4 linked regions of the Drosophila melanogaster genome follow. The gene in region 1 interacts genetically with each later gene. Each region holds a gene or a part of one and is shown in the gene's direction. Other genes may lie near its edges.

What was found.
Region 2: of hh (region 1) and fu, changing one suppresses a phenotype caused by changing the other (phenotypic suppression), as found in Drosophila melanogaster (3 studies listed by BioGRID).
Region 3: of hh (region 1) and ci, changing one suppresses a phenotype caused by changing the other (phenotypic suppression), as found in Drosophila melanogaster (3 studies listed by BioGRID).
Region 4: of hh (region 1) and brm, changing one suppresses a phenotype caused by changing the other (phenotypic suppression), as found in Drosophila melanogaster (2 studies listed by BioGRID).

What each region holds. Positions count from the first base shown.
Region 1 is NT_033777.3:23,138,684-23,144,419, reverse strand, and holds the start of hh (hedgehog), read left to right. Parts: upstream 1-2,513; 5' UTR 2,514-2,898; coding exon 2,899-3,378; intron 3,379-5,736.
Region 2 is NC_004354.4:18,655,944-18,662,225, forward strand, and holds fu (fused), read left to right. Parts: upstream 1-1,811; 5' UTR 1,812-1,896; coding exon 1,897-2,007; intron 2,008-2,079; coding exon 2,080-3,449; intron 3,450-3,508; coding exon 3,509-4,083; intron 4,084-4,151; coding exon 4,152-4,513; 3' UTR 4,514-4,545; coding exon of another isoform or gene 4,546-4,725; 3' UTR 4,726-5,261; downstream 5,262-6,282. Other genes in the region: CG6659 (uncharacterized protein), read right to left, coding at 1-327, 381-702, 771-1,032, 1,155-1,200; CG6696 (uncharacterized protein), read right to left, coding at 4,546-4,725, 5,296-5,732, 5,786-5,959, 6,022-6,205. UniProt on the Drosophila melanogaster protein: Probable serine/threonine-protein kinase; maternally required for correct patterning in the posterior part of each embryonic metamere. May be involved in control of cell division during metamorphosis and ovarian development. May interact with costal-2.
Region 3 is NC_004353.4:53,099-58,540, reverse strand, and holds the start of ci (cubitus interruptus), read left to right. Parts: upstream 1-2,209; 5' UTR 2,210-2,672; coding exon 2,673-2,710; intron 2,711-5,442. UniProt on the Drosophila melanogaster protein: Has a dual function as a transcriptional activator and a repressor of the hedgehog (Hh) pathway. The full-length ci form (ciFL), acts as an activator (ciA) while ciR, its C-terminally truncated form, acts as a repressor. Involved in segment polarity.
Region 4 is NT_037436.4:15,979,119-15,984,592, reverse strand, and holds the start of brm (brahma), read left to right. Parts: upstream 1-1,723; 5' UTR 1,724-1,790; exon of another isoform or gene 1,791-2,024; 5' UTR 2,025-2,084; coding exon 2,085-2,325; intron 2,326-2,381; coding exon of another isoform or gene 2,382-2,393; coding exon 2,394-2,470; intron 2,471-2,704; exon of another isoform or gene 2,705-3,125; coding exon of another isoform or gene 3,126-3,408; intron 3,409-3,639; coding exon of another isoform or gene 3,640-4,223; exon of another isoform or gene 4,224-4,493; intron 4,494-4,588; exon of another isoform or gene 4,589-4,854; coding exon of another isoform or gene 4,855-5,125; intron 5,126-5,185; coding exon of another isoform or gene 5,186-5,289; intron 5,290-5,474. Other genes in the region: PolD1 (DNA polymerase delta subunit 1), read left to right, coding at 1-207; Arl1 (ADP ribosylation factor-like 1), read right to left, coding at 409-730, 999-1,215, 1,313-1,316; CG17027 (uncharacterized protein), read right to left, coding at 3,126-3,408, 3,640-4,223; CG17028 (uncharacterized protein), read right to left, coding at 4,855-5,125, 5,186-5,289. UniProt on the Drosophila melanogaster protein: Transcriptional regulator. Acts as a coactivator, assisting one or more dedicated transcriptional activators of ANTC and BXC homeotic gene clusters. Can counteract the repressive effect of Polycomb protein.

The sequences.
Region 1 (5,736 bases):
TGGCGTTCCATCTGCTCTTTGGCATCTTGCCCATGGATTCCATGCCGAGTTGAATCAAAGGAGCTGCTTGCTGGGCTCTCGAGCATTCTAGTTGGCCAGCGAATGGTCTGAATATTTCCGGTATGTCTATTTGGAGGATCTAGCACACGGCAAAAATATTAATCTTAACTTGGTAGATGAGTAATTCAAGTGTCACATCTTTTCGTTGATCATATAGTTTCTCAACATCAAATTTCGAAGAATGGTAATTGTATTCATTTTTTTTTTTAATGTTTTGACATTAAGAACTGCTTTTTTACATTTTTCACCGTGCAGCATTACAGGTTGCCATTAAAATTCAATTTCGACTTATAGCTGTTGTCCCATTAATATTCACATAAATCAAAGCTGGACCAAATCTAATTACAGAAACTAATCTGCGGCTTTTTATCTCGAAGGGCCTGGAAAGGCATTTTTTGTTAGTTTATTTATTTAGTGTTCTTTTTTTTTTGTTTTAACTCTTTTCTGTATTTTTTGTGAGCCGTTTCGGCTAAGAGCGCGATCTATATGATCGTGATTATGAGGACCGCTGGCCGTCTCGCTTGCTCCACGGTCTGCGATGCCATTTATTCATGCTCATTAAGTGCTGGAGCGATTGTTGTTTGCCCATGGGCCCGGGATGGTCTTCGCATCTGTATCTGGCTTGTTCACGGTGTGTTGTGTGTTCATTCACAAATGAGCGCCTTAAGCAGCTCCGCCCCACAGATACAGATACAGATACAGATGCGGAGGCCCAAAGACACATTCGAAACTCACACAGATACACACAGCGACGAACGTAATGAGTTCGGTGCGCACACAAAGAAGGCAGAAATTTATGTGGCAGCCACATAGACTCTCGCACACACACTCGAATGCCCGATGGCCCAGCATCCAAGACTCGTATATTCCATACCCCCTTCCATTTCAGCTTCTTCATCTTTAATTTGGTTCCGTGTATCTTGTTGATGGCGTTTTGCCTTCTCTTATATCTTTTGCCGCCACGACCAGCTATTGTATTTCTCCTCTTTCGATTCGTTTTATTTTTTTTCTTCGATTCATTTCGTTTTTTGTCGAAATTATTATGCTATGCCTTGCATTCCAGAGCGTTACCAAAAAAAAAAAAAATGCTATGCCCCCCCATGGAATCCGTTACATGAGCAGGTGCACCTTGGCCCTTGGTTCTACCCCGTTGGAAAGTGACAATTTCTTGGGCACACATTGACGGGCGTATTCCACAATTCGCGCTTGCCAAGTGACAGTGCAAATAGACCTGGTGCAACCGCAAAAAAATAAATAAGGTCTGGAAAAAGAGCCAAAACAAAAGATTAGCGCTTGCCACAGATCCAAGTTCTGAAAGTGCGAAAAAGCTAAAAAGTTAAATTGGAGATTTCCCAGTTGTGGGGAATTTTATATTAGCCAAAGTCAACAGAGATAAAACTGGAAATTTATTGATTTCCAGAGTGCGGCATCAATCCGCAACTTAGTTATTTGCTGTGCATAAATATAAGGTACCTAATTGCAAATTGTATTTGCCAAAATCGTTATCGGTTTTTGCAATATATATAGACATATTTGCGATTATTGACATGGCGTTGAACGGAACCTCTGGCGGAGAAGGAAATTGTTAAATTGACCAGTAATTTGTAGGTCCTAAGGCGATATCTAATCGGAACATGACCACTACCTGAGGGGCATATGAATGACTCACTGGGTGACATAAGCTCGGAGCCTTCGATGATCATAAAGTACTTTAGTTTTAAGCACTTTTTCCGTTCCTTGAAGACTGGCAAACGGAAGCAGCATTGAACCCATATGTACTCCACATATCATACCATATACAATATACATATATATGTATGTATATATATAAGGCTGCCCAGGAGTCACACAATACACAAAAAACCGGAACATTATTAATTTACAAGCAATAAAGCGAAACGAACAACAAAACGAAGAAAGGCAACGGAAAAAAGTGAACAATGGCCTGCGATGGAGGAGTTGCAGGGCCAGAAGCGGCTAACAAGCCACAAGACTCGAGTCGAGTCGAGTCCGAGTAGTGCAAGTGTTAAGAGAAATTGCAGTTGCAGTCGAGGATGCTGCAGCTCTTCTGCGCCAGCAACGCACACTATCACACATCCAATTGGCAACAGGCACACACTTTCATCCATGGCCATAATGGACCGCAGCACACTATGCCAATGCCATCCAACATCTGTTGCCAACATTGCTTGTACATAAGAGCCGAAGACTCAGGCACTAACACATGCAAACCAGTCTTGTGAGTATGCTGCATCATCTGGTTGTCCCGCTTCCACTTCCCTTGCGCATAAGGCAGCATAAAAATGAACACCACAGCCGATCGAACGTCGAGTGGCATACGCATACAATCACAACGCGGAATGAACTCGAGGCGATAGTGTGTGTGTGCGTGTGTGTTTGTGTGAGCTAAAAGGCCTAGGGTTCTTGAAAGCACCCTCGTCGTACTCGTACTTATACTCGCATTCGTATTCGCTGCCGTACTCGTACTCGCACTCGAACACTCTGCGCGCACGATACTCCGCTCGGAAATGTCATTTGTCAATCACAGTGCGAGCGCAACGGTTGTCCGAACCGAGAGCTAACTGCCAGTTCAGCGGAGAACAGTTAAGACCGTAGTTAAGTCAGTTAGGACCTGCGATTTCGCCGACTCAAGTATTTCGATTTAGCCAGTTTAAATCCAAATAATACCATAAATCTGAATAACAAACGTGTCGCCAAATAAGCGTGTCTGTGTGCCAAAAGTGAAGTGCTAAATAACCAAAAAAATAAATAAAAAAAATTAAAGGAGATACAAAATCCAATCAAGAGAAACAGCAAACAACGAGTCTTAGATAAATCATGGATAACCACAGCTCAGTGCCTTGGGCCAGTGCCGCCAGTGTCACCTGTCTCTCCCTGGATGCCAAATGCCACAGTTCCAGTTCCAGTTCCAGCTCCAAATCCGCAGCGAGCTCCATCTCCGCAATCCCGCAAGAAGAAACGCAAACGATGCGCCACATTGCGCATACGCAGCGTTGCCTCAGCAGGCTGACCTCTCTGGTGGCCCTGCTGCTGATCGTCTTGCCGATGGTCTTTAGCCCGGCTCACAGCTGCGGTCCTGGCCGAGGATTGGGTCGTCATAGGGCGCGCAACCTGTATCCGCTGGTCCTCAAGCAGACAATTCCCAATCTATCCGAGTACACGAACAGCGCCTCCGGACCTCTGGAGGGTGTGATCCGTCGGGACTCGCCCAAATTCAAGGACCTCGTGCCCAACTACAACAGGGACATCCTTTTCCGCGACGAGGAAGGCACCGGAGCGGATCGCTTGATGAGCAAGGTAAGGAAAACCCTCAAACACCGTAAGCTAGTAACAAAATTTGTAATACATCATTGGGAAAGTTTCGCTTATCGGAATCATTGTGACAAAGTGACTTAAAAATTATTTGTAAAAACCGAAATATTGACTTATTAATCACGATTAATCAGAAATTACTTAACATTTAGTATTGTTAGCAACACAAATGAAGTGAAAACCCAGTCTTACGCCAAATAAATGACTAATTCTAGGAAAAAATGTGAGATAACTCTACCAAACGGAACTTGTAATGCTTTAATAGTACACTTAATATTTGGTCTAGGTATTATTTTGTGATAAAAGTAAGCCTACTTTGATATAGGAACACAATGAAATGCCTGTTAAATCTGAGGTATGGAGGTCAAACACACCATTTAGATGAGATTTTATTGCTGATATTGTTCCGAATTCGTCTTCTATATCAGACAGCTGGGTTCCGATTTGCGGCTAGGCTAATTCCGTGCTTATTGCGCACTGCACTCACATTTTGCCACCCGTCGTGGTCCGTAAATTCAATTGTCAAATTAGCGATCGCTTATCGCTCGCGCTGTTTTATAGCCCGTATCTAGCGATCGCCCGATGGCACGAGATTGTGCCACTCGGTTCCCATTGATAAACGCTACGTGGCGGAAAAGTGCCCAATCATTGATCGAGCATTGGCTATTTCACCAACTTTATGGTGGCGATGGCTGCCATAAAACTGGGCTGAAATATAGTATTAGTTTTGAGCATTGGCCATTTATATGATTAATTATGCATCTTATCGCCGCACTGCACTTGTTTCGCAAGTGCAAAAAAACAGGAAGCCCGATACTCGACGGCTGAACGGTAGATAGCGCCTGAATTCCATCGAACTAAGCCATAAAGCTGCAAAGCGTCCCGAAATCCAAACAAACCGAGCGAACGCGTTCAACAACCTCGAGCCCAATCGATCCCCGGGTCATCATTGCAAATACATAGTTTACTCAACATTGTGTGTACGCTTCGCAAATGCGTTTTCGATTTCGCGCTGAACAACAAACAGGGTATCGAATGCGGGAGATTACAAGTCCCGGTATTTATCAGGTTTTACTCAGCCAAAACCACCGCCCACCGCCCACCGCCCACCCTGTCCGCGCCCCAAAAGTGGAGGCACGCGAGCATTTGCCGCTTATCACCGGCGATTGTCTGATAAGCGGACTGCAGCCAAGTAGTTCGTTTGCCAATACACGGTTACTATCCCCCCAGATAGTCACCCTATATTTGCCAACATGTGTAGCTACATGCTGGCACTGAAAGAAATTGGGTTCGCTTGGCATAATACTATATGCTTGCCACTTTATGGTTTATGCTAAAAGAGGTATATGATGGTTTTTATGTGTGAAATAAAATGTGAAAATTAGTTTAGGTGCAAGTTATACGTTATACGTTATACGTTGCTAGTTGCGCTATATCGGTGCCAGAACAAAATGTGTGCTAAGATACCAGCTAAGGCGAAGAACAGCAGTATCTTATCGCCATAAAAAAAAAGGGGCGGGGGTAGTGAAAGTGGAGTGGGTGGCGGTGGGATGACCACCCAGTTGGTGGGGGAGCGGTGGTTGAGTTTCAAAGTGCGAAACAGCTAAAACAAGTGTTCAATTCAAGCACCATGCGACAACATTTCCAATTAGCCAGCAGTTAGTGGGGTGGTTGCGTTGCGGCCAGAAGTCGGCTTAGCACAGTCAAGACCCCCTAAGAGGGCCGACATTGAAGTTGCTGATATATATAATCGGCACGCTTCCCACCAGCTTATCTTCGTGTTACTTTAATGAAATTTTAAGTGTCGATGTGTAAAAATAGCCTTGTTATTGATTAGCGCCATAAACGAGCTATTGGGCTTTTATGGCGGACTTCCAGTTTCCTTGGACGATTTGGTGCTATTGAACAACAAACTAATAATCAGAATTGTGGGAAGACAGATTACGCCTGCCAACCGACTAATATAGTTGATTTAAAGGGTTTAGTATCGCCCACACAAGTGTTACAATGACTTTCGATTTGTTGATTTATTAGTCAGTGGTTAGTGTTTCGCAAAAACGACTTAGATCTTTAAAAATCAGATTTTACTGTACTGTAAAGTTAAATCGTATTATCGAACCAGTTGTTCGCCTGCTAGAGTTTCACTTGAAAACCAATTCCAAATTGCATTTGGCAACTGCCACGCGCCCATCGGGGGATTCTAAATGGTTGCAGCCATTTCAGATGTTACCTTGAATTTGATATGCAATCAAAAGGTATCGCAGCCTTTCCAGAAACTGGCGAACAATTAACAGTTGCTCGCACGGCAGCACAAACGCAGTGACACACCGAAGGCCAAGGTCC
Region 2 (6,282 bases), on another chromosome or scaffold:
GCCGTTCAGCAGATCCTGCGCGTGTCCCAGTCGCCGGCTGCGCACGTGACGCAACTGTCGCACCATTGTAATCAAAAATAGGAACAGCGAGATGCTCAGCTGCCAGGTGAGAAGCAGCTGGCTGTTGCCGTGCGACATTACAAAGGCGAGAGCGTGGCCCAGCAGGTGCGACAGCGAGTAGTCCAGCACGAAGGCGTTGACCAGAGCCGTGGGCAGCGCGCTCGCGTTCCAGGACGTCATCATGATCAGGATCTGGGTGGTGAAGATGAAGGTGGAGAACTGCCAGGAGAGTAGGGCGCAGGCGGTGAAAAGCGACATGGCGAAGATCTTCGAAGGGCAAAGATGTTACTGAGCTTAATGCAATAAAGCACACCTATTACCATGAACATGCGAGATGTGTGCCGCTGTCGGTGTATGATCCTTCCGATGCAGATACACAGATAAAACATCTGCAGGAAAATGAACGGAAAGGCGAAGTTCTCCCGCGCCAGCGGCCGCTCATAGATCTTGGCCACGAAGCTGTGGAACATCAGGTACGAGATTACGCCGTATATGCCACCGAAAATGTTCTCGCTGAGCAGCGTTCCGTACAGGTAGAGTACCAGCAGGGTTACCCCGCCCATCAGCCACACGAACTCCAGATAGAACTGCATCGGTTGCACCATTGGATTGAAGCCGGAGCGCACTACGTGAAAGAAGTACCTTTGGGGAGCGAAAGTGCATCTGCATTAGTGGACTTTTTGGGCATCACTCCTCTGGCAGTCACTTACGCCGTGACCAGCTCCGGCAGCACGTAGAATCGCTGCAGCACATTGACACTGTGCGGATACTCGATGTCCGTGACGTTCTTCAGCTGCTCGTAGCCGTGCCAAAAGTCCGGCCCTTCGGCCAGCTGCTTGTAGAAGGCATAGTACAGGGCATCCTCGCGCCGCAGAAGCGCCTCCCGCTCCAGCTGATTGAGCTGCTGGATGTTGGTGCGCGTCTCGAAGATCACGCGCACATGCTGCACGTATAGGAAGAAGAAGCCGCAGCCTGGGATGCGGATTGGAATTGGGAGTGTGGTCAATGGCAGTGGGAATCCCCAACTCAATTAGACTGCCGCCTGGAAGCGGAAGAGGCGTGGCAGAAGTGTCTGCCGGTTGGCGGAAACTCACCGATCAGCGCGTGCGACAGGATCACGTACAGGTTGGGCTCGCGCATCGTGCTGCGATTGTGGGTGTCGTCTCACTGGGTGGCTGTGTTCAAATTGGCAATCATTATTTATTTCACAACGATTATTCCTGGCTCCGCACAATAAAAACCAGCCAGCAATCAGCTGTTCTTCGGCCGTGCTTGTCTAGGGTGACCGTACCGAGTTGCTGTCAAAAGGGTCATTTGTGTTGGTTTGGTCACACTGAATTTTAGGTACATTACGATATATAGGTACATACCTATAATTAGTTATATTATCTACTGCACTTTTGGAATTTTTAATTATTTATATTGCATATCATTTATTGCACTTATTAAGTAAAAATTTGTACATTAAGAAATATATACATATAAATATTTATAATATATAATAATATATAAGTTAAAGTTCGTTCCAACTTTTATCACTTAATAAATGTTTATTCGCAGATAATACTAATACCTACTGCCACAGATAAAAGCGCAAACTAGTCTTGTATTTGTCTTGGATTGTATCATGATCTGGTCTATATAGATTTTTAGGTACAATTGCTGTCCAGCAAAAGCGTCATTTATCAGAAAAGGAACCCTGTATGAGCAATCTAGTATTTTCATATACCTACGTACCGAAGCCGAGTTCCCACCTCGGAGTCAACCTGCTACGGTCATACCGCACGCACTTCAGTGGTAATCACATCCCAATCCGCAGCAAAACAAAGAATAACCATGAACCGCTACGCGGTAAGCTCGATGGTGGGGCAAGGATCCTTCGGGTGCGTATACAAGGCGACACGCAAGGACGACAGCAAGGTGGTGGCCATCAAAGTGATCTCCAAGGTGAGTGGGGCGGGCCAGGTGATAAAGCAACAAGTCCATACAACTAGTTCACACCATATTCATGTTCTGCAGCGCGGAAGAGCCACGAAAGAGCTGAAGAATTTGCGCAGGGAGTGCGACATTCAGGCCCGGCTGAAGCATCCGCACGTCATCGAGATGATCGAGTCCTTCGAGTCGAAGACGGACCTTTTCGTGGTCACTGAGTTCGCGCTGATGGACCTGCACCGCTACCTGTCCTACAATGGAGCCATGGGCGAGGAGCCGGCACGTCGGGTGACCGGGCATCTGGTGTCCGCTCTGTACTACCTGCATTCAAACCGCATCCTCCACCGGGATCTCAAACCGCAAAACGTGCTGCTCGACAAGAACATGCACGCGAAACTCTGCGACTTTGGACTGGCCCGCAACATGACCCTGGGTACCCACGTGCTCACCTCGATCAAGGGAACGCCCCTCTACATGGCCCCGGAGCTGCTGGCGGAGCAGCCGTACGACCATCATGCGGACATGTGGTCACTGGGCTGCATAGCCTACGAAAGCATGGCCGGTCAGCCGCCCTTCTGTGCCAGCTCCATCCTGCATCTGGTGAAGATGATCAAGCACGAGGACGTCAAGTGGCCGAGCACGCTGACTAGCGAGTGCCGCTCCTTCCTACAGGGCCTGCTTGAGAAGGACCCCGGTCTGCGCATATCCTGGACGCAGCTGTTGTGTCACCCCTTCGTTGAGGGACGCATCTTTATCGCAGAAACGCAGGCGGAGGCGGCCAAGGAATCGCCTTTCACAAATCCCGAAGCCAAGGTTAAGTCGTCAAAACAGTCCGATCCGGAGGTAGGCGATCTGGACGAGGCCCTGGCCGCTTTGGACTTTGGCGAGTCGCGACAGGAAAACTTGACCACCTCCCGCGACAGCATAAACGCCATTGCTCCCAGCGATGTTGAGCATCTTGAGACCGATGTGGAGGACAATATGCAACGTGTGGTCGTTCCCTTCGCGGACTTGTCCTACAGGGATCTGTCTGGTGTTCGGGCAATGCCGATGGTACACCAGCCGGTGATCAACTCGCACACTTGCTTCGTCAGTGGCAACTCCAATATGATCCTCAATCATATGAACGACAACTTCGACTTTCAGGCTTCCTTGCGGGGCGGAGGCGTGGCCGCTAAGCCAATAGTCGCTCCAACCGTACGCCAGTCGCGCAGCAAGGATCTAGAGAAGCGTAAGCTTAGTCAGAATCTGGATAACTTCTCTGTTCGCTTGGGTCACAGCGTCGACCATGAGGCGCAACGCAAGGCCACGGAGATTGCTACACAGGAAAAGCATAACCAGGAAAACAAGCCTCCCGCTGAAGCAATTTCCTACGCAAATTCTCAGCCCCCGCAGCAACAGCCACAACAACTTAAACACTCAATGCATTCCACCAATGAGGAAAAGCTGAGCAGCGAGTAAGTGGCCACTGCGCCTCATAGAATTTCTTTTACTAACTTTCCCCTTTCAATAACAGCAACACTCCGCCGTGCCTGCTCCCGGGGTGGGATAGCTGCGATGAATCCCAAAGTCCGCCCATCGAGAACGATGAGTGGCTAGCCTTCTTGAACAGATCGGTGCAGGAGCTGCTTGACGGCGAACTGGACTCATTGAAACAGCACAACCTGGTGAGCATTATTGTGGCACCGCTGCGCAACTCCAAGGCCATTCCACGGGTACTCAAGAGTGTGGCCCAGTTGCTGTCGTTGCCCTTTGTGCTGGTGGATCCTGTTTTGATTGTTGACCTCGAGCTCATCCGCAACGTGTACGTGGACGTAAAACTGGTGCCCAATCTCATGTACGCCTGCAAGCTGCTCCTGTCGCACAAACAACTCTCGGACTCGGCTGCCTCCGCCCCACTCACCACGGGTTCGCTCAGTCGAACGTTGCGTAGCATTCCGGAGCTAACTGTCGAGGAGCTGGAGACGGCTTGCAGTCTGTACGAACTGGTCTGCCACTTGGTACACCTGCAGCAGCAGTTCCTAACGCAGTTCTGCGATGCGGTTGCCATTCTGGCAGCAAGCGATCTGTTCCTCAACTTCCTCACGCACGGTAAGATTACCCTTAGATGGTATGAGCTGACTCCTGTAAACTGTTAGCCCGTTCCCGTTCTCCCGTAGACTTCAGGCAATCGGATTCAGACGCCGCCTCTGTTCGCCTGGCTGGGTGCATGTTGGCCCTGATGGGCTGTGTGCTGCGCGAGCTGCCCGAAAACGCGGAGCTTGTAGAACGGATTGTCTTTAATCCGCGGCTAAACTTCGTCTCGCTCCTGCAGAGCCGACACCACCTGTTGCGGCAACGTTCCTGTCAGCTGCTGCGCCTGCTGGCCCGCTTCAGCCTGCGCGGCGTGCAGCGCATATGGAATGGAGAGCTGCGATTTGCGCTGCAACAACTCTCTGAGCACCACTCGTACCCGGCACTCCGTGGGGAGGCCGCCCAGACCCTCGACGAGATCAGTCACTTCACTTTTTTCGTCACCTAGCCGGCACTTTCTTTTATTGGCCTCAGGCGTTTTTATCCGAGCAGATCCTGAATGTTGCCCTGGAAGTAGTCGAGCAGTTCGTCGATGTAGTTCCCGAAGCGGTCGAAGTTGAGCAGGTAGTCCTCGCTGCAGTCCTGTTCGTACATCTCGTTTAGCTTGGACACATCCTTGTCGGAGAGGCCGCGTCTCTGGCCCAGCGAGGCGTACGGATCCTGGAAGCAAAGGACAGGAGTCAGAGAGTGTAGACGATGCAAGCTCCCCCAAGTCATTACAAACATCTCATCGCTTCAACTAAAACTGCTAAGGTGTAGTCAACCATTCAGCTAAAGAATTCTCATTTGATATAGTTCCAACTGGACAAGGAAGCAAAATGCTTCGTCTATTCCTAGCATAGTTGCACGTCATTGGACCATGTGTTAATATAGGAATTCCTAATCTGAATATGATCAAATCACTATCACTATCGAATTTAAATATTTTATGAGCCACGGTTTTTGGCATTCCTAATGGAATCTAAGTTAATTGATAGGTGTTTTTGAATGCACATATTCAAGTGTGGTTTGTGCAAAATAGATTGATAGCATTATAGTTTGTATATCGAAATATAACATTTAGGTGTAGTAATTGTTAAGATAAGCGAATTTACTGTATGTCCATACAATAGTCCATTAATTCGCAGTATTACTATTGAATGTTAAACTGAACTCCTTTACAGTGTAAGCGATTTAAAATAATACTCAATTACATGAATAACTGGTAACCATTTGGGTTGGCCTACTCACCAATGGCTCTATGGTGGCTTTCCCGTTCTTGCTGAAGGCCCGCGAGCTGTAGTGCATGACGCTCTGGTAGTCGTACTCCACCCCGAAGTTGGTGATGTGGGTGCGGGCGTACTTGTTGAAGTTGTGCGCGTGCCCGTCGAGGATGTTCTCCCAGTTGATCTTGACGTACTCATCCCGCTCCGTGGCGCTCTGCTGGTGGTAGAAGCCGAGCGCGTGCAGCAGCTCGTGCACCACCACGCCGTGTGTGACGCACTTGGGTGTGTTCAGGTTGAGCACCTGGCCACCCGAACGCCGGCCGACGCTCGACCAGCAGCCGGAGTAGTTGCCCTTGATGAGCAGCCAGTGCTTGTCGCCCTGTTCGTACGGCCGGAAACGTATGCAGGTGCGGTCGTGGTACTCCTTGAAGGCCTTCAGTATGACCATGGTCTGGTTGGCGTCTGTTTGGAAAGGGTGTTTTACTACTTTGGACTGCTTGCAGGCCTTAACTCACTGAAGTCTTGCGGGTCTATGTAGAAGGGCACGGCGGCCTCTGGCCAGGTGAGCCGCTCGTTCAGCAGCCCGTTCCTCAGCAGCTCGCGGTGCAGCATGATGTCGCCCTCGAAGAGGCCGCAATGCTCCCATATGTTCGTATCGCTGTCCTCCGTCCAGAAGTTGAAGGCAGGACCTGCAAGTGCCAATGGTTGAGTGCATCGACTACTAGCGTCTGATATGATGTTGGGTACCTACTGTTGTGCCGGCGCAGCATCTGCATATTGGCGCCCCACCTGGCAGCGGGCGGCACCGCGGGTCGTGCGCGAAGAAGCGCCTTTCGCGTGGCCGGGGTACTCGCCTCCAAGGTGGCGGACAGGGCCAAGGCCAGGGCAGACCAAAAACAAATCAGACCGGGAACGATGAGCGCACTTCTCGGCATTGTTGGGGTAAAAGAAACGCCGGCCATGTTGCGTCGACGCTTTTATATGGCACTGCGTAAAGGGGCGGGGCAATGAC
Region 3 (5,442 bases), on another chromosome or scaffold:
CTCTTACATATGTACATAGCTTTATAGTTCTTTGCTTAAAACGTTTCGAAAGATTTTTATTTTTATTTACATATGTAAATATACATATGTATATAAAACCGTTCAAAGGCATTCGAAGAGCATATGTACATACCTATATTGTAATAATGTTCTAAATAACATTTTTTTTACATACTTAAATTAAAAACAGAATTTTTTTTTAAAGAAAGGATGTGGCTTTCTTAATGTTCCTTATTATTATTGAAATAAACTGGGTATACAAACTTTTTGAATCTTTTATTTTATATTATAACCACTACGAGTACACGGGCGAGAAGGCATTAAAGTATAGTAACATAATATAAAATATACTATGGTATTTATACAAAAAATTTTGTCATAACAAATATTTGTTCGGTATAAAATATATGTACATATATACATACGATGCAAAGTATATAACGGCCACAAACTGCCGAAGACTGTCACACCCTTTTAAAAGTGACTTTTAAAAGTGATGTACCAAAAAAAAGTCATACCCACTTCGAACGATCACAAATTACAAAACCCTTGGAGGTTTGCAAAATACCTCTTTTTGAGATTAAATATATTATCAGTTTATTTCTTCAAAAACACCAAAAATTATCAGTATAACTTCATCACCTACCCATTAATATAAAACTTAACTAGTTAAAATCACCTTTAAAGACGGGGTTAAAAGACAGATGCCACCAAAAAGTACATATGAATATTCTTGGACAGCCATATTCACTGAATATTAATGGCATAATGAAAATAATTATGCTCTCCACTTTATTCGATAAATTTTACTAAATTTGACGACTAATTATGTAGCTTTATCAAAACTGTGGCTTGCCAAAGCTATCTTGTACTAGGCACAATTATATTTAATAGTTCAAGTCGCTTTTTTTTTTAATTACACGCGTTATGAACAAACAAGTCTCCGAAATTGTATTTTTCTTTAAGTAGTGTGTCTTTACTATTAAATACCTTTTTCAATAAACACAGCCAAAATTACTAATGCAGTTCGGAAATAGACGCGTTTCCATCATTAAAGTAGAACATTGATTGACATGAATTTATAAACTTTGTTATATTGCTTTGTTTAAAACATTGTCGTTATACTCACCTAGATCGTCTTTAGACCGCAAAATGTCGTCTAGGTTAAAGCCGTATATCAGATAAAAGAAATTGATTGACCCTAGCCGAATCAATCTAGTTATGCCCGTACGTAATATCGTGTCGGAAATTATAAATCCAATTTGGTTCAAGACAGTGTTGTTGAATTGACCAATACAGAACTAAGGGGCGAAGTGTTGCAATCGAAATATTAATTTTCAAAATTTATAAACAAGTATTTAAGCGCTGCCAGAAGTAACATTTATTTAAGCATCAACATTGCTATAACCACATACCCAAGGGGTTGGAAACATTTTAATTGTTGGATTGTTAGATTACCGAGTCTACTACCTTATTAACATCATATACTATTTAATGAAACTAGTATACCCAATATACCCATAAGATAGGGGTAAAAATTCGATGCATTAAGTACACTGAGTGCAAAAATACTGTGTCGCAAATATTACACCAAACCAGTCTTGATAGGATAGAAAACAGTTATGTATGTTTTCATCAAGAATGCTATTCGCAAGGGCAAGGCTATAATAGATAAATACGACTACAAATACATGTTTGTATTTTAATATACTGGATATACTGGGTATAATGGGTACAAATATCAACGAGATAGCCAAAATCAAGATTGAATCGGGTGTACAAGCTACTGTAAGATTAATCTATATATATATATATATGTATGTGTGTATATGTATATAGAGATAGGCGTTGCCAATAACTTTTGCGTTTTTTGCTTAAAAATAATATTGTATCGCCGAGGACAAAAATTACCCACTGAGAGACACAAACTACTAGCGTAAAAATATCTATATTAACAGCACTGGCATCGAAAAGTATCTTAACTCACGTACGAGTATATGTATTGTGTGGCCATCTTCGATCTGCCCGCCTTCGCCGACTGTTCGTGATCCGTAGGTACACACAGACATTTAAATCACCAATGCACTTGTTACTGTATTGTATTTATGTTTGTGAACCTACACGTATCTATGTAGAATCTGTACAAGTATCTGTGTTTGGACAATGGCATGTGTGAGAGGAGATCCGAACTGCTCCATCTAAACTAACGAAGCATTGCAACAGCTAGTGTTAATGTCGCTCAGTCCACTCGTAAGAAACATAGGAATAAGACGCAGCATTCAAAAAATATTGACTTGTCTTACAAAACTGATTTTCATTGTTCGCTACTTAATATTTAGTGATAAATATATTACTTCGGGACTGATAATCTTATGAATATACGTGTGAGATTTGGCGATACCCTTCATTACTTAGGAAGCCGAGCGCATAAGCTCACACCATTATAATATTTAAGTGATATGAATATTAAATATTAAAATTTAAAACCAACTTTTTAATCAAAGAGTTTCCTTAAAATTGTTTAAGTTGCCGATCAAAAGTGGAAATTTATGCGTGCCGTTATTTGAAATACCAATCTTTTGAAAATGTTTACGCCGACGGTTAATATTATTTAAAAGGATAATTGAATTTATAAAACGACGTCATTCTTGTTGTGGACTAACTTTAATGAAATGGACGCCTACGCGTTACCTACATATTTTCCTCTTGCGTAAGTTTTTATTTGCATATTCGAGAAGTAAGCCTTACAATAGAAAAATATCTACATTTTTGTTTAAAACGAGGAATTTTAAGATTACAGTCCATGAAATGTTTAGAAATGTGTAAGTTAAATAATAACAATTAAATAATAATAATTAAATAATTAAAAAAATAAAAAATAACAATAATTATTGTTATTATTATTATAATAATTATATATAATTACATATAATTATATATATATTATATAATTATTGTTATTATTATTATAATAACAATAATAATAATAATAAAAATAATAATAATAATTTTAATAATTATAATAACTATGGTAACAATAAAAAAGAATAATAATAATAACGATTAACGGGTATAAAAATGTTTATTATTATTATAATTACTATTATTATAATTTTTATGATTAATCAATAAATAATAAACATTTTTATACCCGTTACTAGATTCGTTGAAATGAATGTAACAGGCAGAAGGAAGCGTCTTAGACCATATATAGTATATACATACATGTATATTCTTGATCAGGATCAATAGCCGAGTCGATCTTGCCATATCCGTCTGTCCGTATGAACGTCGAGATCTCAGGAACTATAAAAGCTAGAAGGTTTAGATTCAGCATACAGAGACAAAGACGCAAGTAGCCATGCCCACTCTAACGTCCACAAACAGCGCAAAACTATCACGCCCACACTTTTGAAAAATGTGTTGTTCTTTTCACATTCTGATTAGTCTTTTACATTTCTATCGATTTCTAAAAAAAAACTTTTTGCCAACGCCCTAAAACCGCCCAAAACTCCGACACCCACATTTGTAAAAAATTGTTGGGAATTTTTTTCATAAATTTATTAGTTTATTATTTATTATAAATTTAAGTTTATATCGATTTGCCGACAACATATTTTAATTTTTTTTCTCATTTTATCTTTTATCTATCGATATCCCAGAAAAATTGTGCAATTTCGCATTCACACTAGCTGAGTAACGGGTATCTGATAGTCGGGAAACTCGACTATAGCATTCTCTCTTTTTGAAATTGCGGACGTGCCCGTTTCTGCGGTTAAGAGCGAGCGTGGAAAAAATAATTTTTAAATATCGATAGAAGTCGTAATCTAATTTTGAATTTAAAACGCTGCATTCAAAGATATTGCTATGTTAACATCGAAGCTAGCCAAAAGAAAATTATGTTGGCGTTTACATAAAAATTATATAATAATAAATAGTAAATACATTAAAATACTTAAAAAAATTAGACTCTAACTTTATTGTTGGTTGATCGAGAAGTTACTTGAATCTGTATGTCTGAGATTAATAATCAAGAATTTTTTTATATATCAAATGAATCGGATTATAATAGCGGGGTTTCTTATAATCATGTATCTAATGTCTTTGCTTATGCTTGCCGGTTTGAGGGCGTTAGAGCGATACAAAAACTTTTTAGCGAATCGATAGAAATTTGCAAGACTTCATGAAAAACAAGAGAGACTGTTATAGTCAATTTTCCCGAATATCACAAACCCGTTACTCAGCTAGTGAAATGGAGAGTCCAAAATTTCATAATTTTTCTGGCATATCGATAGATATTGGGGAAAAAAATGAGAAAAATAAAAAAAATTACTGAAGTATGGGCGTTAGCATTTTGGGTGTTTTGTAATTGTTAGGAGGGGCCGAAGTGTTTTTGGCTTACCATAAACATTGACATCAAATTAAATAAAATCAAAACATTTTGCAAAAGTGTGGGCTTGGCAGTTTGGTCGGTTTGTGTTCGTTAAAGTAGGCGTGGAAACATCGGTTTGTATGGATGGGTATGCTTAATCTGAACCTTCTACCAAAGACACTAGAATAACAAGATGCGTAACGCCATACAATTTTTTGGCACACGATTTTTTCGCCGTGGCTCTAGAGGTGGCTCCAGGCTCTCTCGAATTTTTGTTAGAGAGCGAGAGAGCAGAGAGTGCTACAGCGAACAGCTCTTTTCATCGCATAAAGTGATAGCAGACAACTGTATGTGTGCACACGTATGCTCATGCATTGTAAATTTGACAAAATATGCCCTTCACCTTAGAAGTTCTTTGACTTTAAATCTATATTATTTTTGATCAATTGGCACCATGTGAAAAATTCTTGTTTTGCATTGCCTTAACGTTATTATTATATGAAAATAGATTAGAAAGAGCCAAATCTATGTACATATTATCACAAAAATAAATTTAAAAATGACTTTATATATTTAGAATATTTGTCATTAGAGTATTCGTCTTGCGGCGTGTAAAAATTAATTAGGCAATGATTGTTGAGTGCTTGTGTCCGCACTTCGTGCCTCAAGATATGACCAAAGCAAAGACACTAGAATAATTCTAGACTTTTGCAATAAACAGTTATCATATTCTTATGGAATTTATGAAATTCCAGTAGTTATAATAATTTCTATTGTACTTCCTTTAATTATTTACTATATTTATTAAGTCATTTAACATTAAAAGTGTTTCAAAAAAAAATATTTCGCTTTTAAAAAATTGTCAGATGAGAGACAAATTAGAATTAAACATAAATATATATGTGTAAACGGTAGCTAATTCGATCGGCGATTTTAACAAACAAATTTTAAAAGCTTTAATTAAGCGCGAATTTTAAAAAAATTATTTAATTTCATCATATTTCTAGGAAATTGGCAAAAACTACCCTAATATGTACAATGTAAATTCGTTTTTTCGATCAGAATTGATT
Region 4 (5,474 bases), on another chromosome or scaffold:
TATCAGAAGGAGGTGGGTGCGAAGAGGGAACTGGAGGAGACCTTCTCTCGCCTATGGACCGAGTGCCAGCGATGCCAGGAATCCTTGCACGAGGAGGTCATCTGCTCCAACAGAGATTGTCCCATCTTCTACATGCGACAGAAGGTTCGCATGGATCTGGACAATCAGGAGAAGCGGGTGTTGCGATTCGGCCTGGCCGAGTGGTAACCATTGCATGAGTTTAATGAATTGTTTAATCCTATAATTTAATAATTATATTACTAGAAGTTATTACAAAGTTTCTTTCGGTTCGTGGATTTTTTGCGCAATCTGCAATTTGAAAAAAGCTGTTGACGTTCCCTAGCTGGCGATGCTTTGGACACACATTTTTTACACAGGGATCTGGGGGTCTGAGGACTGGCTAAGTATCTACTTGCGACTCTGCAGGGTGTTGGACAGCCAGTCCATGGCCTGGTCGAGTCCCTCGCCCTTGGTGGCCGACGTTTTGAATATTTGAAATGTGCGGTTCTTTAGGTTCTCCAGTCCTAACGCATGATGGACCTCGGCGACGGTCATGCATCCGTCCATGTCCTGCTTGTTCGCCAGGACGACCAGTATCGCGCCGGCCAGCTCCTCCTCACGCAGCATGTACAGCAGCTCGTCCTTGGAGATGCCAATGCGGTCCCGGTCCGCCGAGTCCACCACATAGATGATTGCGTCCGTGTTGCTGTAGTAGCAACGCCAATAAGGTCTATAATGGAAATAGCACGAATTGAGATTAGGATTACCATTCTTAAAGGCCAAATAGATATATGTACGTAGCCTGCCTAAAGAAAGAACTATTAGCTATTTTAAGTTAAGTTGTGGATGCAGATGTTTCCTATCTTATCAGCTACAATTATAATGGCTTTTTGGAAACCCAAAAGGCTTACTAAACTACAACCGAAAATATGTCTTCTAGATATTAAATAAGACTTGGGTAATGCCATCACAATACTGCTCTCGTGTAACCAACTCACCTAATACTTGTCTGTCCGCCCAAATCCCAGACCTGGAACTTGAGGTTCTTGTAGGTGACCTGCTCCACGTTGAAGCCGATGGTGGGTATCGTGGTGACCACCTCGCCCACCTGCAGTCTGTAGAGGATCGTGGTCTTGCCGGCGCCGTCCAGGCCCAGGATCAAGATGCGCATCTCCCGGGAGCCGAGCAGTCCGCGAAAGTAGCTGAGCACCCCACCTGGAAGAAGAACGTATGATTTTTATGACCAGACTTCGTCACCGGGTGTCGCCGGAACGGGGAGGTTCCCCACGTCCATGCTCCGTGCTGTACAAACCCATGATTACGGCTGAACTTTGTCTAGTGCTGGCGCTGCCTCTAAATGCTTAAGTTTAGTAAACCTAGTTAATTGTATGTGGTGCTACAATTAATACAAAATCGCAGAAGTCTTGTTTTCACTTTTTTTTGGGCTGGAGAATGGTTTCGTTTTTGCCATTCGCAGGTCACGCGAACATGACGTGTCACAGCGTGCGTTCAGCACGAATATATTTTTGTAAAAAATAACATTTTAATAACTTTAAAAAAACGTTTAATATCATTAATTAAATTTAAATAAATACCATTTTAAGGAGTGCATACAGATTAATTATAAAAATATTCACAGTGACTTGTGCTGAACGCGCCCACCTTTATTGCCGGTTCACAGAGTTGCCACCCTTGCGTGACTTTTGTTATAGAGACGGCCGCCATTAGAGTTTTGCCGTCGCGTCGCGTTGTGAAAAGAGAAGAAAACCTTCTGAAAACAGTGCTAATAGGTAATACTTTCGGTGCCAAATGGAGCAATCCGATTGCGTTCTTCGCGTGCGATTAGCGTGCAGTTGATTTCGGCCGATTTGGCGTATCTTTAGCCGTTATTTTGGGTTTGCACCGGGCTGCGCGAAAAAGTGTGCCAAAAGAGGCACACAAAACGGTAGCTACGATTACATATCGTGGCTATAGCTTCTTTAATGTTGGTAAATACAGTGCATTGACGTGTGTTCCATCTGCAGATTAGGCTGCACCAGTTGCTGGATATCGCTATTGGATAAAGTCAAGAAAGGAGCTGCAATATGGCCTCGCCCTCTCCGGCGAACAGTCCCATGCCACCGCCACAGGCGCCCAGTCCGATGGCCCCGCCCTCGCAGAGTCCCGCCCCCTCGCCGCACAGCCCGTATCCGCACCAGCAGCCGGGTCCACTGCAAGGACCTCCGCCACCCGGACATCCCGGTGCCTACGGACATCCCATGCAGCACGGACCACCCGGCCAGGGTCCACCCGGGCATCATATGCCACCGCACCACCAGGGGATGAGTATGTTCTTAAACAACCCAACACCAATCGCTCCAGTCACACGTAATTATCCGTAGTTTTCTCAAAAGGTCCGCACATGGGAATGCAGATGCCGCCGACGGGACCGAACATGTCCCCCTACCAAACCCACGGAATGCCACCCAATGTAAGTGACCCCCAAGTCTAGCCGTAGGAATCAAAATAGTAAGCCTACTTAGATGTCTCAGTTCTCAAATCAAATCTATGCCATCTGGACAAACAGTAGCTCAGTGCAAACATTGAAAATATTTCCATCGATACTTTCAAAATTTTTATAATCAGTAATTAGCAAGTTTTTAAAATACTTAATACGTTTGTAAAAGATCCTATAAAATCTACATAGTATTCTAAACGGTAGATTAAGGATTTCTTTAAATTTCTTTATTTACTTTACTCTATATACAGATATGGGTACATAAATATCTAAATTCCATGTTAGACTAACATTTTTCTGAGGGATGCTATATGAAAAAGGTATAAACAATACGAAATTCGTGAAACTTTGTGAATAAGTATAGAAATACTAAATTTCCAAGTAGGTAATCTGTATATTAAGTTGTTTGCCAGCTAAATGCTTAAAATTATGGTATCATACGGTGTTGTTTTTCAAAGTCTCAAGATTGACGGGCTTTCCCGCCTTTTTGACGTGTATCGTGGAACAGCTGCCGGCGATTAAAGCTGGAATATATCCGAAAGCTCCCCATTAGCAGAGCTTCGAGCGCCAATTGGCAGTGCAGCTGACCCCAAGCTTTTCAATTAAGATCGTTGTTGCCTTGCCTAAATTACTTCTGCACCGGCTTCCCTCCCACGGACTCCTCCTGGTCTCCCTTACGCAGAAGGTCTTCGATCTCCTTGCGCAACTTCTCTGTGCCGGCGCAGATTAGATCCGGCTTCATTATGTCGAATGGTCCGCCAAAGGGATGTGTTACCACGCCTCCCGCCTCCTTAACCAACAGGGAGCCGGCGGCACAATCCCAGGGATACATGTCCTCAATGTAGAAGGCATCCAGATTGCCAGCGGCCACCATGCACAGCTCATCCACCACACAGGAGTAGGCAACAAGTCTGTGGATTTATGCAATATTTTGTAAGGGGTAATTTCTTTTTAAAAAGCTTTAAAATCTTTTTAATTATCTTCGAGAACAAAAGGCAATTAAAGCTTTTCATTTAGCAGTGACTGGTTAATTGCTTAGTACTCAGATACTTTTGTTTTGTTAATTTCACAGATTTTTACCCACTATATCAACGGGATTTAGTTTTGCGAAATAGATTCAAATTTATAAATGATTTACTTACCGTCTAGCATTCAATCCCACATGGTAGATCCTTTTGATATGCTTGTTGGCCACCGAATGGACATGCAGCAGGGACACTTCGTAGGCCACATTGGCATCCTTAACGCTCTCGCAGCTGCTCACGTGGATTGGTTTGCCATTGCAAAAGGCGCCTTGGCCCAGTTTCGTTGTGAAGAGCTTTTTCTGGACAGGATTGTTGATTACTCCCACTACGATTTGTTTGTTGATTGCCAAACCGATTGAAACGCAAACGTGTGGAATCTGCTTGATAAAGTTCGAAGTTCCATCGATGGGATCTATGATCCAGGTGGGAGCATTCGTCAGCTCTCCGGACACGTTGTTGTTCTTAGCCGTCTCCTCCTCGCCGATGAACTTGTGATCCGGGTATCTGGCCAATATTTTCTCCATGAGAAAGTCCTCAATCTTGTTGTCGTAGTCGGTGACCACGTCGTAGAAATCGCCTTTGATTGAGACGTTTTTACTGGCCATCTCGTAGCCCTCCATGAGGATCTCGCCCGCTTTGATGGCCAGGGGATGGATAAAGTTGTACAACTCCTCGATATCAGCTTGACTTACTCCTGCCATCTTGCTTCTATGCGTATTCCTTTGGGCAAAAAACGATCCGTCGCTGCTCAGCTCGCGATGTCAACTAATCGGAGAGATTGCACCCCACTGGGAGAAGCTCCACGCTCCGGCTGATTTTGTCTAGCTGGCGCTGGCGCTGGAGAAGTGCTTGCGGTTCGGTTACAATTCACTCGTTCTATGATTGTTTGCCTGCCTCGCGTTTTTATGATCGCTGCGACATCGCCCCATAGGGGTGTACTAAAAATTGGCAGCTCACCTGGCTGCGTGCCTCTGTTTTATCTCAATTGGTTTGATGTACACAAATAGACATACTCTTTTTTATCTCCACACAGACAGCCAGTCAAATAGTTGTAAAACCCGTTTTTATCAGCATTTTTCGACGCTCTCAGACTTTATTATTGGATGATTTACACACTCGAGCTGCAAGTCATAATACTCAGAGAAACCTTGCAGATATTATGTTAAAATTGATCGTAACTGTATTATAAAGATCAATCACTTGTCTTATAATCTTTAAACTTTGCTTTTATGCTTATCATTAAACATATTCGTATTGTTTCATACATCCATCATTTCCAATCTATTGAATATAGTTGTTTAGACTTCATGAATATATATTAAGCTTTATGATTTATTTAAAAGTATAGCCGCTAATTTGGTCGGCTCCTTCTATCAATTGGATTACACTTTTGGCCAATTCTTCAGAGCTGGTGCACACACAGTCGGGTTTCATCACATCGAATCTTGCACCGCTTGTGTGATATACCCTGCCACCGGCTTCCCTGAGGATTACCGCACCGCCAGCCAGATCCCAGGGCTTTAGATTCTCCACATGATAGGCGTCACATCTGCCGGCGGCTATATAGCAGAGCGTGAGAGCTGCGCATCCAAAGCTGCGGGTGCTGATAGCGGAATGCAGTGTAGATGATGGGGAATAGATCAGAGTTCTCTGGGTCACTCACCCAGTGGCACTCGAGGCCAGCTTGTAGAGACGCTTCACGTTCTTGTCCCGCCCCTTAGACACCACGATTAGGGAGATCTCATAGCACACCAATGCTTGGTTTATCTGCAAATGTTACCGAAAATGCTTGTGTCACTTACGCTTGCGAACTTCGTAGCAGATAAAGTACTAGAAAAAATATATTGGGTTATATGTGATTTTAAAGTCTTAGAAAGAAACCAACTTTTAAACTGAGTTTCATTTTTTCAAGTGATATTTTAGCTAAATTACTTAAGACCTTTAAAGTATAG